2 linked regions of the Arabidopsis thaliana genome follow. The protein of the gene in region 1 purifies or fractionates together with the protein of each later gene. This does not show direct contact. Each region holds a gene or a part of one and is shown in the gene's direction. Other genes may lie near its edges.

What was found. Proteins that work in one complex are often made in the same cells at the same time.
Region 2: the proteins of AT4G10320 (region 1) and AT4G08640 fractionate together in Arabidopsis thaliana (co-fractionation; one large-scale study listed by BioGRID). This does not show direct contact.

What each region holds. Positions count from the first base shown.
Region 1 is NC_003075.7:6,396,744-6,407,234, reverse strand, and holds AT4G10320 (tRNA synthetase class I (I, L, M and V) family protein), read left to right. Parts: upstream 1-2,562; 5' UTR 2,563-2,725; coding exon 2,726-3,259; intron 3,260-3,348; coding exon 3,349-3,414; intron 3,415-3,502; coding exon 3,503-4,024; intron 4,025-4,195; coding exon 4,196-4,309; intron 4,310-4,453; coding exon 4,454-4,551; intron 4,552-4,907; coding exon 4,908-4,986; intron 4,987-5,085; coding exon 5,086-5,244; intron 5,245-5,512; coding exon 5,513-5,602; intron 5,603-5,680; coding exon 5,681-5,814; intron 5,815-6,328; coding exon 6,329-6,488; intron 6,489-6,611; coding exon 6,612-6,695; intron 6,696-6,793; coding exon 6,794-7,003; intron 7,004-7,112; coding exon 7,113-7,238; intron 7,239-7,324; coding exon 7,325-7,462; intron 7,463-7,553; coding exon 7,554-7,657; intron 7,658-7,748; coding exon 7,749-7,812; intron 7,813-7,958; coding exon 7,959-8,047; intron 8,048-8,153; coding exon 8,154-8,295; intron 8,296-8,388; coding exon 8,389-8,452; intron 8,453-8,527; and 13 more. Other genes in the region: AT4G10330 (glycine-rich protein), read right to left, coding at 99-192, 279-429, 537-684.
Region 2 is NC_003075.7:5,510,541-5,516,641, forward strand, and holds AT4G08640 (ATP binding protein), read left to right. Parts: upstream 1-2,772; coding exon 2,773-2,907; intron 2,908-3,029; coding exon 3,030-3,163; intron 3,164-3,252; coding exon 3,253-3,386; intron 3,387-3,521; coding exon 3,522-3,634; downstream 3,635-6,101. Other genes in the region: AT4G08630 (fas-binding factor-like protein), read right to left, coding at 77-226, 386-538, 636-791, 872-1,027, 1,117-1,419.

The sequences.
Region 1 (10,491 bases):
AAAGGAGATTATCACTAGCCCCAAATCTACATTATTGATCTAAGAACAAACCAAACACTACCATTTACTTGGAAGCTGCAACAAATCCTAAAAGTTCATCATTTTAACCACTTGTCGATTTCATTTGTAGTAGCTTTCACAAGCTTCTTCGTGCTAACAACAAGTTCATCAATCAGTGAATCAACTTCATTCCTGTCAACAAATCACCAAAGTCAAAATCATCATCTTCTTCTTCAAATCCTTAATCACTAAAAATCTAATTGCAGACAAATACTCACAGAGATGGTTTTCCAACGTTGTAATAAGAACGAGAGTGATCATAAGCAGCTCCTCTTCCAACACCATAGCCAAAACCTACACCAATTCCACAACCAGCTCCAAATCCAAGACCAAATTGTAATCCAGGAACTCCTGGTCCGAATCCTACACCTGTTTTCATCAAACCAATCTCTACTCTCTTAAACCAAAACTATCTATAAATAGCTTCGAGCGATTCGCGAGTCTGCGATCAAAATTGGGAGAAATTAGAAATTTACCTCCGATAAGACCGGCGCCGAAACCAAATCCGCAACCGACACCGAGTCCAAAAGCTGGACCAACTTTTCCAATGTCTCTGATCCTAACTTGGGGAAGTTTCCAGAGCAATCCTTTGTCATCGTCTCCGGTTCTTCTTCTGTTGCTCATCGTCCCTTTCGCTCTCTCTTTCGGCGTGGATTCGCCAATACATACTTTAAATGGGCCTATATTATAAGGCGCACTCTTATTTCTCAAGGCCCAACTTCAGCCCAATAGTCATATAGATCTCATTTCACAAGCGATATTTGTTATGTTTATTTTATTTTAATCTTTTGTTTTATATCATAATGAATTTTATAGAAGATATCTGTTATGTTTATATTCATAATGAATTTGTTTTATATCATAATAATATGGATTTTCATTAACAACATTTTTTTTAATACATAAAACTAAAAAACCCACAATTATTCTCAAATTTTCACTTTGTTTTCAGTTACTTTATATATATTTGCCAAACATATTATATAATATATGAAGATTTGTTCTTACATATATTTAATGGATTGATGCCTCATTAGTTTTATTCTCAATTTCAAAACTAAAATTAATAACAAATCTTTCGTAAAACTATTAAATTTTAGATTCAACTAGATTAAACTCCATCCAATATGCATGTTTAATTTTTAAAACTAAAATAAATTTAACAAAAAGATATATTAAAATCTTATTGTAAGTAGAAAATAAATATATAATATTTTATTTTGAGAATTGTTTATTTATATATTCGTTTTTTCCTTATTCGAAAAATATTATACATGGAAATTACTAGTCAAATCATCATCTAATTTACATCTATTTACAAATCTATCGTCTACTTTACCACTAAAAATGTGTTTACTCACAATCATATTTTCTTGTTGAAGTATTCTCATTCCCACCACGTATAAAATGATTATATGAATGCATAAAGCCAACTACATGTGTTTTTATTTTCACTTTCACATAGTTTTTTAACCACTAAAATTATTGATTCATAAAATATTTTGAAAGAAAATATATCACATAGCAATAATTAATGATTTATTTATAAGAAAAACTAGAATAAGTAAAAATTACTCGATCGCAATGAGTCTATAATAAACCAATAAAGGTTGAGAAATTTGATTGGACAAAATTATAAGCACAATGATAAAAGATTAAGGCTTATAGATTCTATCGCAAGTAATAATTCTTTTCATTTTATATAAAACTATTTTGCATTTAAAAATATGTTTATCATTATTTGTTGCATATTTTGTACGAGAAAATTATTTGAAAAAATTCTATGCATGTTTTAATGTTAAAAAAAACTCTGTTGAGTGTATTCACGAGCCACTCAATGTAATTTTTATCTGATGTGAACATAATATATGCCTAAAGAAAAGTTTGAAACTCACCCTTATATTCAGATTGATGTTGTGGACTAATGTTGAAATATATTCTAGTATAAGTTCTAGACCACATGATTTCATATAAACTTAGGTCCAACTTTCACCAATTATTATGAAACATTTGTATTGGGTCTTAAATTTTTGCGACCCATTTGCAGATATTTTTGTTTTGTTTAAGCCTCGAAATTAGCAAAACTACCCCAAAATTAACAAAAATGCCCCATAATTAACAAAAATACCTTATAATTAGTAAAAAGTTCCATAATTGACAAAAAATGTCCAAAAATTAATAAATAAAAATTATCAATGTCTCATAATTAGGAAAAATAAATCAGTTTTTATTTTAGAAAAGCGTCAATTTGTTTTGTATTTGGCCTTGGATTTTAGATTTTAGTACATTTCTTATTATATTAAAGTATGTATATTAATCAATATTAAACTACTATCTTATTGATCATCATTTAACAGTTTATTCATCTAATATTTTCATCATTATTCATCTAATTCATCTGGTTCAGTATATCAACCACCATTTGACAGTTTCATAATAGTCAAAATATTTTCCTTCTTCCTTAAATCGATTTTTTAATACCAATAAGTGGAAGTTTGACCCAAAAAGAAAACAAACAAGTTAATGGGCTTACTACGGCCCATTAATAAACAAAAACGCACCAAAACTTCATCTTCAACGCCGGGGACTTTGATATCATCTGCGCCGAACAAAAACTCTGCAGAAACCCTAATTTTCGTCAGTGATTGATTCTTCCGTTTCCACCATGGAAGAAGTATGCGAAGGAAAAGAATTCTCATTCCCTCGTCAAGAAGAAGATGTCCTCTCCTTCTGGACTGAAATCGATGCTTTCAAGACACAGCTCAAACGCACTGAGAATCTTCCTGAGTACATCTTCTACGACGGACCTCCTTTTGCCACCGGACTTCCTCACTACGGACATATCCTCGCTGGTACGATTAAAGATATTGTGACTCGGTATCAGACCATGACTGGTCACCATGTCACTCGTCGGTTTGGGTGGGATTGTCATGGCTTACCTGTTGAGAATGAGATTGATCGGAAATTGAATATTAAGAGGAGAGATGAAGTTATTAAGATGGGAATTGATAAGTATAATGAAGAGTGTAGGAGTATTGTGACTCGTTATGTTGCTGAGTGGGAGAAGGTTATTACTAGGTGTGGTCGTTGGATTGATTTTAAGAATGATTATAAGACTATGGATTTGCCTTTTATGGAAAGTGTTTGGTGGGTTTTTTCTCAGCTTTGGGAGAAGAATCTTGTTTACAGAGGATTCAAGGTTTGTTTGGCATTCTTCTTCCTGCATTGATGTGGTTTTGAAGTTTCGTGGATCGTGATTTTTGTATTTGGGTCAATTCTGGTTTGCAGGTTATGCCGTACAGTACTGGTTGTAAGACACCTTTATCTAATTTTGAAGCTGGTCAGAACTATAAGGTAATGTTGTTGTTATTGTGTTCTTCAGGTGATTGATTTGTGTTGTATAGTTTGATCTCTGATATTGGTAGAATGTGTGTATGTACAGGAAGTCCCTGATCCTGAAATCATGGTGACTTTTCCGGTTATTGGGGATCAAGATAATGCTGCTTTTGTGGCATGGACTACTACTCCGTGGACTCTTCCAAGCAATCTTGCTTTGTGTGTAAATGCGAAGTTTGTCTATGTGAAGGTTCGTAACAAGAACACTGGAAAAGTGTACATTGTTGCTGAATCTCGGTTGTCTGCTCTTCCCACTGATAAGCCTAAGGCCAAGTTAAGTAATGGACCTGCTGGTGATACTAAGAAAGCAAATCCTAAAGCTAAAGGTGCTAAACCTGAGAGTGCAGCTGATTCTTATGAAGTTTTGGAGAAATTTAATGGAGCTTCCCTGGTTGGGAAGAAGTATGAACCTTTGTTTGATTACTTTAGTGATTTCTCAAGTGAGGCCTTTCGAGTAGTAGCAGATGATTATGTCACTGATGACAGTGGTACTGGTATTGTCCACTGTGCTCCTGCCTTTGGTGAAGATGATTATCGTGTTTGTCTTTTGAACAAAATAATCAAAAAGGTTAGGTTTGACTACATCTTCCTTATCACCCTTGCTAACATCAGGCATGAACTTTGCTCATTTGTTGTTTCTCTCTTGTTTAGGCTTACAGTATCTTCAAGAACCCATTCTCAGTTTACTCTAATAATCTTGCTTTATCTCATTGTGTTAAATGTTCTATATATGTTGCAGGGGGAGAATCTAGTTGTTGCTGTTGATGATGATGGGTTGTTTACTGAGAGAATTACCCACTTCAGTGGCCGTTATGTCAAAGATGCAGACAAGGATATAATTGAAGCCGTTAAGGTGATTACCGATGCTTGATAATTAGTCAGTTCAGATCATAATGATTTATCTGTTTCTTAGAGAATCTAAGTGCTTTTTGGACCATTGGATTTCTTTACTGTAGGTGATTTGTTTCATGAAGTAATATTATTTTTATTATTTCAGGCCAAGGGCAGGCTTGTTAAAACGGGAAGCTTTACTCACTCATACCCATTTTGCTGGCGATCAGACACCCCACTCATATATAGAGCAGTTCCAAGTTGGTATGCTTCATTTTCATATGAGTTTGAGCTAAGGTCTTAGTAGTTGGATCATTTAGTGCTAGTTCCAGTGAGACGGTCTCTCTTGTCCTTGCCTTGAACTTTGGCTCTTATGATTATATCTGGCAGCCCCTTTTCGGAGCTGTATTAGGTATCTTTGTGTATTTTTTTTGCAGAATAATCACCAAACTGTTTAGGATATTTTGATTTCCCATGTTTTCATTTATTTATTTTAGATTTCATATGTAGCATCTGACCTAAATGGCACGTAGTTATGGTCATAACTTATGAACTTTATTCTGTCGTTTTTCAGGTGTGGTTATGACTTTAAAGTTTTTTTTTGTGTTTTGACCTGTTAGGTTTGTGCGTGTGGAGCAGTTGAAAGAAAAGTTGTTAAAAAGCAATGAACAGACAGAATGGGTACCTGGTTATGTGAAGGTCGGTAGAAGAAAGGATCAGTACTCTGAGTATATATTACTAGTTCGTTTTGTTAAGTTTCTGATATGAATACATTTTTTTGATTAATGTGCAATTCAGGATAAACGTTTTCACAATTGGCTCGAAAATGCAAGGGATTGGGCAATCAGCCGAAGTAGATTTTGGGGCACGCCTCTTCCGATATGGATAAGTGATGATGGGGAGGAAGTTGTGATCATGGATTCCGTAGAGAAGCTTGAAAAGCTCTCTGGTGTTAAGGTCTCTTCTTTTGTTTTATTTACATCTCTCTTTATATCAGCAAATAGCTCACTGATGCTTTGGGAAAGTCTACTGTCATGATCTCGGTACCTTTATATGCAACCATTTGCTACTACTCAACTGTTGGATAAATTTTTCTAGAAGTCTTCCTTATATGTTCTGTCAACTTTATGACACTCTATGAGGGTTTGGTCTTTATTTAGTACTGGAGAATGTAGTTGTCAAAAAGTCTAATACTCATTTGTTTCTCTGATGATTTATGGTACAGGTCTTTGACCTGCATCGTCACCATATTGATCATATTACAATTCCATCTAGTCGTGGCGATGAGTTTGGTGTGCTCCGTCGTGTAGAAGATGTAAGATGAACCAATTTCTTTCATTTATCACTTATCCGGGGTCTTATCCCAAGCTTAAGTTTATATACGCTTTTACAGGTTTTTGATTGTTGGTTTGAGAGTGGGTCAATGCCTTACGCGTATATCCATTATCCGTTTGAAAACAAGGAGTTATTTGAGAAGAACTTTCCTGGTGATTTTGTGGCTGAAGGTCTTGATCAGACTCGTGGATGGTATGTCATTCCATATCTTGACTGTGGGGAGAAATATTAGTTAAGCTTTAGCATTTAAAATTATTGGATTGATATTTTGGTGGTTACGTGATGAAAAAAGGTTGCTTTTTATTAAGGTCTTTGAGAATGGAAATAAACCTTTTACCTTGTAGTATTGCAAATCTTAGTTAGTGTTTATCATGTCAACCCAAGATAGTTGCAAAAAACCCATATCATTTCAGTTCTCATATTTTTTCAAGAGTGGATTTCTACATTGATATATCCTATAAGCTCTTCTGACAAATTATTTCTTGCTTATCTCTGGGTTTGTTCCGTCCCTCTACTTTATGATATCTGGATCTTAGTTACCTCAATGATTGCACTTAATTAAGTTATGAGTCGATGCTAAAGGAAGGTGTGATCAATTTACTATGAAATGTGATTCTAGAAGTGTTTTGAAACGGGCATAATAAACAATATTTTTTTCCTAAGTAGAAAATAAATAGTTACTAAACTTGTCGCTGGGTATCTACAGGTTTTATACTCTTATGGTGTTGTCTACTGCATTATTTGAAAAACCAGCGTTTAAAAATCTGATTTGCAATGGTCTTGTACTTGCTGAGGATGGGAAAAAGATGGCTAAGAAATTACGGAATTATCCACCACCTTTGGAAGTCATAGATGAGTATGGGGCTGTAAGTTTTCCCTATAATATGCTCTTGTGCTGCGTTTTGAGCTTTTTCAAATGTTCTCTAGCTAAGAAAATCTTGGCAGTGTGTGTACGTAATAACTTAGTGACTTTACATGAACCTTGATAGGATGCTGTGCGATTGTACCTGATAAATTCTCCGGTTGTACGTGCTGAGCCACTACGCTTCAAAAAAGAAGGAGTACTCGGTGTTGTGAGTGATTTTGGTGGTTGAATTTATTGCTGCTTTATTGCTGTTTATTCGTGGTTGTTGTCTGAATTTTTTTCTGGTCCTGCATTGGGATTCACTAGGTCAAAGATGTATTCCTTCCATGGTACAATGCATATCGGTTCCTCGTTCAGAATGCAAAGAGACTTGAGACTGAAGGTGGTGTGCCCTTTGTTCCTACTGATCTGGCAACTATACAGTCAGCAAACATTCTTGATCAGTGGATTCACTCAGCTACGCAGAGTCTTGTTCGTTTTGTCCGCGAGGAGATGGATGCCTATCGGCTTTACACTGTAAGGTTTTTACATGTTATTTTCAGCATGATATGGTGTTCGCATTAGAAAACCGCCATCACTGTCTCCTGGTATTTATTACATCTTGGTTTTTGTTTTTCTTGTTTAGGTGGTTCCTCGTCTCTTGAAGTTCCTCGACAATCTCACTAACATATATGTCAGATTCAACCGCAAGAGATTAAAAGGCCGTACGGGGGAAGATGATTGTCACACTGCTCTTTCGACTCTATTCAATGTATACTAAAAATAGTTGCAGAGATATATTGTTTGTGGTCACCATGATTTGAACACTTGTTATATCTAATTATTGTCTATTTTCAGGTGCTCCTTACTTCTTGCAAAGTGATGGCCCCGTTTACACCTTTCTTCACTGAAACTTTGTACCAGAATCTGCGGAAAGCGTGTAAAGGTTCTGAGGAAAGTGTTCACTACTGCAGTATTCCACCAAGGGAAGGAATGGTAAGACTCAAGTCCACGTCTCTATATCCAATAAGAGAATAAAAGTAATCTGAATTTTGCCTGCTTATATTTTCTTTCTGTGTTTGAATAGGAAGGGGAGAGGATTGAGTTAAGTGTTACGAGGATGATGAAAATCATTGATCTTGCTCGGAACATTCGTGAGCGTAACAAACTACCCTTGAAAACTCCTCTAAAGTGAGTGTTGGTACTTGATCGTTTTCAGTTTCTGCTTTGTTAACCTAAAACATGAAAAAAAATTCACACATGCTTATCCTTGTTGTATCAGGGAAATGATTGTAGTCCATCCCGATGCTGATTTCTTAAATGACATAACTGGAGTACTAAGAGAGGTCTGTGGTGTTACAGGAACAGTAGTTTATCTTCTTGAAGTTTTAACTAATATTATAAATATGAAACTTTTTGAGATTATTGAGAACCATTTGATATCAGCCAATGATAGCTATGTGGATTTATCCTGTTTAATTTTGCATTGCAGTATGTCTTGGAAGAACTTAACGTGAGATCGCTTGTACCATGCAATGATACTCTGAAGTATGCATCACTAAAAGCAGAACCAGATTTCAGGTTGGTTAAGTTTTCTGTCTGTGTTTTTCTTTAAACCGCTGAGCTCAATGTGCTTTAGCCTTTCCAAAGGGATGTAGAGTGAAATTTTACATGTTCATTCCTGCAGTGTATTGGGAAAGCGACTTGGAAAGTCGATGGGGCTTGTTGCAAAGGAAGTTAAAGAAATGTCTCAAAAAGATATCTTAGCATTTGAGGAGGCTGGGGAAGTTACTATTGCTAACCACTTGCTAAAGGAAACAGATATCAAGGTCTCTCATGCTATGATGTTTTCCTGTGAGATAGCGTTAAGAGTATGTTGTTAATAGCTAAATTCTGACACATATCTTTCATGTGTTGTTCAGATTGTTAGGGTTTTCAAACGCCCAGACGATTTGAAAGAGAATGAGATTGATTCAGCTGGAGATGGTAAGAAGCGTAATTAATTATCACTTCTCTGTTGGTAGGATACACATATAATACTTGCTTTCTTTCATGATGCAGGTGATGTTTTGGTGATTCTGGATCTACGAGCAGATGATTCTTTGGTTGAAGCAGGTTTTGCCCGTGAGGTAAAGATATATAACTTCTCTAATAGTGTACTAGTCCTAGATGAAACCAAAGCAATACATTTTCTTATAACTTGTATATCTTCTGTGGGGTTCTTCTTCAGTATCTTAATATTTTATTTGCATATAAAGCGATGTTGTGCTTATGAGCTTAGTTTCCCTGTGTTAAAGATTGTAAACAGGATCCAGAAACTAAGGAAAAAGTCAGGTCTGGAACCAACAGACTTTGTGGAAGTGTACTTCCAATCATTGGACGAGGATGAATCTGTTTCTAAACAAGTTCTAGTCTCTCAGGTAACTAGTTTTTGTTTGTTACTCAATTCATCTGAACTTAAATTCTACTTGAAATTTACGAATGTTTCATTGCTTGTACGTAATTATTTGTTCAGCTATGGATCAAACGAAAATTTATGTTTCCAACATGAATGTCTTCAACCACATGCCTTAATTCTGTCTCATCACTGTTGTTTGTTGAACAGGAACAAAACATCAAGGATTCAATTGGCTCCACTTTACTTTTGTCTAGTTTAATGCCATCACATGCAGTAAGTCATCAACACTCCCATATCTGCTTATTTATTTGCACGGCAGAAGCTTAATGTTTATCCTCCTATCTTTTATGTAACAGGTCATAATAGCCGATGAGACATTCACCCCAAAAGAAACATCCGATGAGAGTGTCAAAAAGGTTCCAAAGTTGTCGTATAAGATAAGTTTGGCTAGACCGGCTTTGAAGTTCAATGAAGAGGCTGTTCTTGCTTTATACTCAGGTGAGTCACCATCTCATCACAATAGATTCTCACTGTCAATTCTCTCTCGCTTTCTGTTTAACGTGTATATTTATGGTTCCAGGAGATGTGAAATCTGCAACCGGGCTTCAAACATACTTGTTATCAAGGGATCATTCGAATTTGAAGTCAGAGTTCCAAGCCGGAGATGGGAAGGTTCGTTAGTTAAGCTTTTGTTAACCCAAATCGTTTACTTTATCATTTTAATGTATCTTGTATGGCAGATAACTGTAAGCTGCATTGAAAATGTGCCTGTTGCGACTGTGGTTCTTGGCGAACATCTCCATTTGAGTGTCGGCGATGACTTATTGAGCAAGAGGAACGCATGAGCCGTCCCTCCGGTTTTGTTTGATTTATTGTGGTAACTTGGGATTTATTTCCCTTATTTTTCTTCTTCCATATCTTACCTATAAACTACTTATTTAGATTGTTGCAAAAAGTTAAATCTCAGTGTTGAGACTCTCTTTTACTCGTTCTATTTGTACAATACTAAACTTTTATTCATCTCAAAATTTATGGTTGGACAGATATGTGATTGAGTCCAGTGACCAAAGTTGAACATTGATTTTAGTACAGAGAAGGCAAGAATCTTGTTAAAATCTGAAATTACCTTAACAAAATTTGATTAATGTTTCGGTTGTCATTTGGGTCTTAAAACCATGGGATTCCTGATGCCTATGTCCATTTAATTATGGTCAGCTTTTGGACAAGCGACATGGGCAGCCCATAGTTTTTAATATTACACTTATGAAGTATTGTACTTATATTTTTAATATTAAACTTATGAAGTATTGAAATTATATCATTGTGTGAAACACTTAAGACTTAAGTATGGAGTTTTGAATAAATGTGTTCATGATATCATGTATTATTTGGATTCATGGACTGTCCAATCTATTATGGTTCTTTTTAGGTTTCGTCTAATTTAGACATTGCTCATTTGGGCATGGACAACCCATTTGATATCCTACCTTTAAAGGATCCAGATTTTCGTTAAAAGCATTGAAGGTAACATTAAATCTTAGAAACTATGTCTAGAGAGATCAGAGATGTGTTAGTCAAGTGACAAAAAAAAAATCTGATCATATTCGTTCATGGAAGAGACCCATTG
Region 2 (6,101 bases), 890 kb from region 1:
GAGGGGACATTATAGAGACTAAGTTCAAATAGAGAAAGTATCAATGTGAGACAGAATAGCTACGAACTAAAATTACCAAAGGAGTGCGAGGTCTCATTGATCGTCCACCTGCAAGTCCAATGCTTGGCATGCCACTAGTATACGACTCATCATAATCAACATCACTTTCTCCATTGGATGGTGGCTGAGCTACTGCATGTGGATGCCTCAGTGGAGGGTTTTTAGTCTGTAATACACAAAGTGAAATATCAAGTTTAACGAATAATAACTAGCAAGAACAGTAAGGATATCAAAAATTTCACTACTAGCAACATGACTCTCAACATTCTTATAGCTGATATACAAGTACAAGATTCAAAATGAGTGTGTTTAACAAACTAATTACCAGAGGAGAACGTGACCGTGCAGCCCTTCCACCAGGAAGTCCTACACTTGGAATGCTGCTTGTATAAACATATGGAGTCTCATCATCTTCGTTATCCTCATCTGCTCGCTGATGAGCTGCCATCACCGGACGCCCTTGTGGTTGGGTTTTGTTCTGTGCTTTCCAAAATATTGAAATTTTGAGAAATAGTTAAAATATGAAAATAATAATAAAAACCTAGAAACAACAAGTTTCAAGAGTCGATCAATACCATAGAAGATTGTGGCCGCATAGCCCTCCCACTTCCAAGCCCAATACTTGGTCTACCAATTGTATAATCTATAGAAACAACATCATCATCATCATTACCGTCATTCTTATTTCCTTCGTTTGTTGGTTGTGTACGTCTCGGAGGTGCAATCTTAGTCTGCACCAAAAGAGTAACAACATATGAAAGCTGAAACCAAGATACACTTGGCAGGCAAAAGAACTTAAAACTAGACTGACCATCACAGGAGACTGAGGTCTCATTGCTCTTCCACCAGGAAGTCCAATACTTGGTCTACTGCTCGTTACATCCACTGAAAAATCATCATCCTCATTGTCCTCATCAACTAACTGTGGAGTTGCCATCTGTTGACGCCTTGCCATAGGATTCCTAATCTGTCAGTCCAGAAAACACTATCACATAAAATCCCTACATTGCAAAACCCTCATTACAGTGAAAAAGTGAGTCTGTTAATTTTAATTACCACAGGAGAGCGAGAAGGATGAGATCTTCCAGCTGCGAGTCCAATGCTCCCTGTTCCGATAGCATTATAGTCAAAGGAAAGGTCTTCATCACTATCTTCCTCGTCCCCTGTTTGATTTGACATCACAGCCGCAAGTCTCTGAGCAGCTGCTTTTGTCTGAGCTTTCTTAGCATTCGAAGCTGGCCCAGCATTTGATCCTGAACGTGTATGACGATGCATTAGAGGAGACGTCATCATAGGCGAAGATGGTGTTCCTGGTTCCGTACTCTTATTCCTAACATGAATAGGTCTCGTGTTTCTCATCGTCAACTACAAAAATTAAGCACATTGATTTTCATCATCACATTCACATCAATGGCAGTTTGATTGGAACTAAAAATTCCACACATTGAATTAAAAAAATAGTTACCAAATTTGTCAAAATTTTGGAAATCACAGAAAAGTGAAATCCAGAAAAATGGAAAAAGAATTAAATGCGTGAATTAAACAGAACCTTACAAAATTAGATTCAACAGAAATCTCAAAGAATGTTTCAAAAGAAAAAGCAATGAATAAATTTGCCATTTATGGCAGCACATATTTCTCTCTCTGACTGATCTTCGGTCATTTAGCCAGAAATTGCGAGTGGCTTTCAACGGTCGGATTGAGAACAGTTTCTTCTTTAATTATTTATACTTTCATCCCCAATAATTTATTATTGTTATCGATAGTACCTAAATTTATTTATTTTATAGTTTTCATCCCACGATTGTGTAATAATTATCCAAAGTACCCTTTTCCAATTATAATAGCATTATCATCTTTTTGTTTATGGTTTAGGTACAGTTTTTAAAGTTTTCTCACGGTTTGTAAAATAGAAAAAGGAAAATCAAGTAACTAAGAGATATATTATTTGATTTGATAGTTAGCTCGTAATTGTTTCGTCTACCACAACGGCATATAGAAATTTATATTTCTAGTTATGACTTATGATCAGTGATTATAGCATATGTTGTATGATAAAAAATATTTTTCATATAGTTTTTATTTCTTATTAAATTATTAATTACTTATTAGGCAATACATATTTTTTCATTTATTACTTGATATCTCTAACTTTTGCTCTCTTTGTAATACGTAAGTGTAACTTATCTCTGTGTTGTTTTTATGCTTGGCAACATCAATCCTTAATAAGATAGATGAGCTTTTTATCATATCCGAAATAGCCTCTAAGCAGCAGAAAGATGAAAGAGATGATTTAGCCATTCCTTTTGCTAGATCAATTCTCAACCATAAAGATTCTTTGAAAGAGATGAGACTGATAACATTTCGGGATATACAAAATCCTTGGAAAAGGTGAATGATGCGTCCTTATTACTATTTATTATTTCTAGAGTTAAAACATAAATATCATATTTGTTTTTTTGTTCGGTAGGCTCTTGAGATACTTCAAGAACAAGTTAAGATATCTGAGAGACTATGGTTGTGCAAGAGACTTTTCTTTCCCGAATGAGGATGATAACTAGCAAGCAGTTTAACCAAAAAAGTTTAAATTCTTTAGTACTTGAGGTATTTTATTCATGTAAGATTTTTTTTATTATTTCTCATTTCTTCAGTGTTATTGCAATAGAATGGTTCATCTGTTTACAGGTATGCTCTTAAGTCCTAACGAATGCAATGACCATGAACATTGATGATGTCCATGTTGCCAAGATATTGGGAGTAGACTCTCGCAAATCTTGCGTTGTCTGTGGTATCGTCTTTAAAAGTGACGATGTAGGTAACATTAGGCATCCTTTGAAAAATGCAAAGGTGAGACCAGGTTGAACAAATCTTGCATAACATGGCATCCTTTGTAACTGTCTTTCTCAAGGATGGTTGTGTTTTTAATTGTTGACTATTTTTCTCCTTTATTTTGGGTTCTAGTCTTCTAGGTACATAACTTTGGAAAGTCAAAGGAAGCCATGCTTGAGACTTTGGTTAAAGATATTGCTTTTTCCAATGTAAAAGTTATTGTTAGTCGGTCATCAATTTGTGAAATGACACTACGTTTCTGCAAAATTTACAAGTAAGTAATCTCTAACATTTGAACCTACTTTGAATCATTTTTTCTGAACCTTTTGATAAATACAGTGTTGGCAATACCATTTTTTTTAGGATAATGGTTCTACAGATTTCTTCTGACATTGATATTAACAGTTTATGTTCAATAGTTGGTGCAATTGATTCATCTCAGCATTTCCAACCTCATCATCTTGGATACATGGATTCTACATCATTATCAGAGATTGGTAATTCCTCAACAATCACTTTGTGTGGAACGAAATGGAAAGTCTTAACCAAACAACAAAGCTACATTACTCATGGAATCAATACATACAATTTAATACTTGTATATTTACTGAATTAGTTATTCTTGTCTGTAGCCAAGAGAGCTGTAAAGAAGGCAGAGAGAGATGCAGAGAGGGCTGAGAGAGCCTCTCAGAAGAAAGCAGAGAAGTTTAAGAGTAAGCTCCAGGCTGAGAAAAAGAAGGATTGAAACTAGATCAGATAATTGATGTGTTTCTTTTTATCATGTAATGAATGACTTAGAGTAATGTAGAGATTATTGTTCTTAAAAGGTTTGCGGGAGCTGTCTTCACTAAAGGTAAAAAAATCTTAACATGTGAACTCTTTTTGTCGACTCTATCCTTTTTTAGAAGCAGAGGTCTGTTATTAGATGATTATTTAAGAGACATTTTTGAAGTATTTGCTCTGTATAAAGGATCATGAGGCATTTTTTTGTCATGTCTCAAAAATAGACGGAATACATTATCAAAGTTTATATATTTATAGATTATAATGTGTAAGAAAGCAATGTACAACCATGTCTAACGCATAAGCCCCAATAACGTAAAAGCCAGCACCTCTTCAGAACAATCTCTTCCTAAAGAGAGCTCCAGATGAGAAACTATCGATTTAAAAAATACACTAGATGGAAACAAAAAGTATGAACCTTTAAAAATACTCCTCTCGAGTCAATATCAATCTATTAGTCACGGTCTTAAGAGAGTTAAGCTCGAATTCAACTTTATAAAGGTGCTCTAACGAAGATGTTGCCTCCTCCCTAGCAATCTAAAACGATTCCAAGATCTAAGGTGTTAGTACAAATACCCGTAAGAACAACAACATATCAAAACTTGAAGTACCTCAGCTTCTGTGTGAAGAGCCAAAACATCTACCCTCCTTCCTCCATGATTTTGTGATGCAACTCTCAAAGCAGCCTGAAAAGAATTTGGTTCTATGGATTATGCTACTTTTTTATAGGCCAAGATCTAAACTAGAATCATAAAGCCTCATGGAACTTTATAATAAAAAAATAATGTATGAGACCATGTAGATAAATGATAAGACACTAACCTCTCTCTGAAGCAAGAAACACATTCACAGAATTAAATTTTTGTCAAAGGTTATCCAGAATTTAAATAGAACGGAAGCTTACCTGCTTTAAAGACGTGCGTTCATAGTAACACCTTCTCCAAGGATTTCAACCTAATAAAAATCGGTTTTGAGTTTACAAATGTGATAAAATCTCGAGGTAATGAAACAATATAAACAGTACGTAAGAAGAGATTTGTATGATATACTGAGGCATGAACCACCTGCATACCTGTTTCTCAAGTTGCTTAGCTCTAGCATCTGATTCTTCACACTTATCTTCTGCAAGTCGAAGCTGGGGATGCACAAATTAGGATGGGATGCATACCATAATAAAATTGTACAAGGATTATCTAACTTCAAAACAAATCTTGTATATTAATACACATAAGATTGGCAACAACTATGATAAAATGATAGGCTAGTCCAAATAAAAAATTCAAATTTGCCAGTGTAATTCAATGATAGCTTAATTGTAACAAATCAAGAGATTCTTTTCAGGAAAAGATGTCATCAAATGAAATTGAGTAACTAATCCATACTGACACCAAGTGTGAAAATTTACTGGCATCACCTTTTCTAACTACCTTTCATTTTCTTCATATAACATTTGAATTTTACATCAGTTTCCATAATCTAACTATAAAAATAATAATTCAACTTGATATCTATTTGAAATTTAGTTTGATTCTTGATTTGATCTATATGACTTGGAATCCTTGTGTCTGAATCAGGGGCGGATCTACATTAGCATGAGATAGGGCACGTTCCCCATACTACTTCTTAAACTTTAGCTAGTAACAATTGATTGGTTATATCTTTTACATCATTTAGCAATAAGTGCCCTATGCCACATCTTAGATGCAGTGTTCGATACCCCTGTGTACAATGTTTTTGGCTTTTATTCTCTTTATTTTATATTTGTTTTCCACATTCTTGTTTAGCGTCTTCATGTAATTAGATGCATTTTTCTTATTCATTGTTATCGTTTTTTAAAGTAAAACTATGTTCTGCTGAAAATAAACAAAAATAAAAGTATTCTTTTTCAGTTCTATTTTTATTTTTGTAATTCTAGTTTAACTTTAACAAATTTGAAGTCATAACTATTGTAAAGTATACCTACATTTTAATTAAAAATGATAATAAAAACTAGGGAATTAGTAAACAATGCTATATCATGTTCTAGTCAATTTAATATTTAAAGTTTCAAGTAAATATAAATAATATTATATATATATATATATATATATATATATATATATAAGTTACATTTTTGTAGTGAGTTGTACTTCTAACTATGCATCTTTCTAATTAAAAATAGTGTGTTTGGCGATGTCAATTTAAAAATATATTAAGGGTGACAATGTATAATTAATTTAATATTATAAAATAGTTCTTAATATGATTATTATGTAAATCAAATATCATTAATCATATGTTATTGTGCCCTACATAAATTGTTTTCATGGATCCGCCACTGGTCTGAATATTCCAAAAATTTCTAAAAGAGTTTATAATTATTATGGATGGTTAAGCCAACTATGTTATAGTATTAAGACCATCTCCATTGAGATTTTCTCACAATTAAA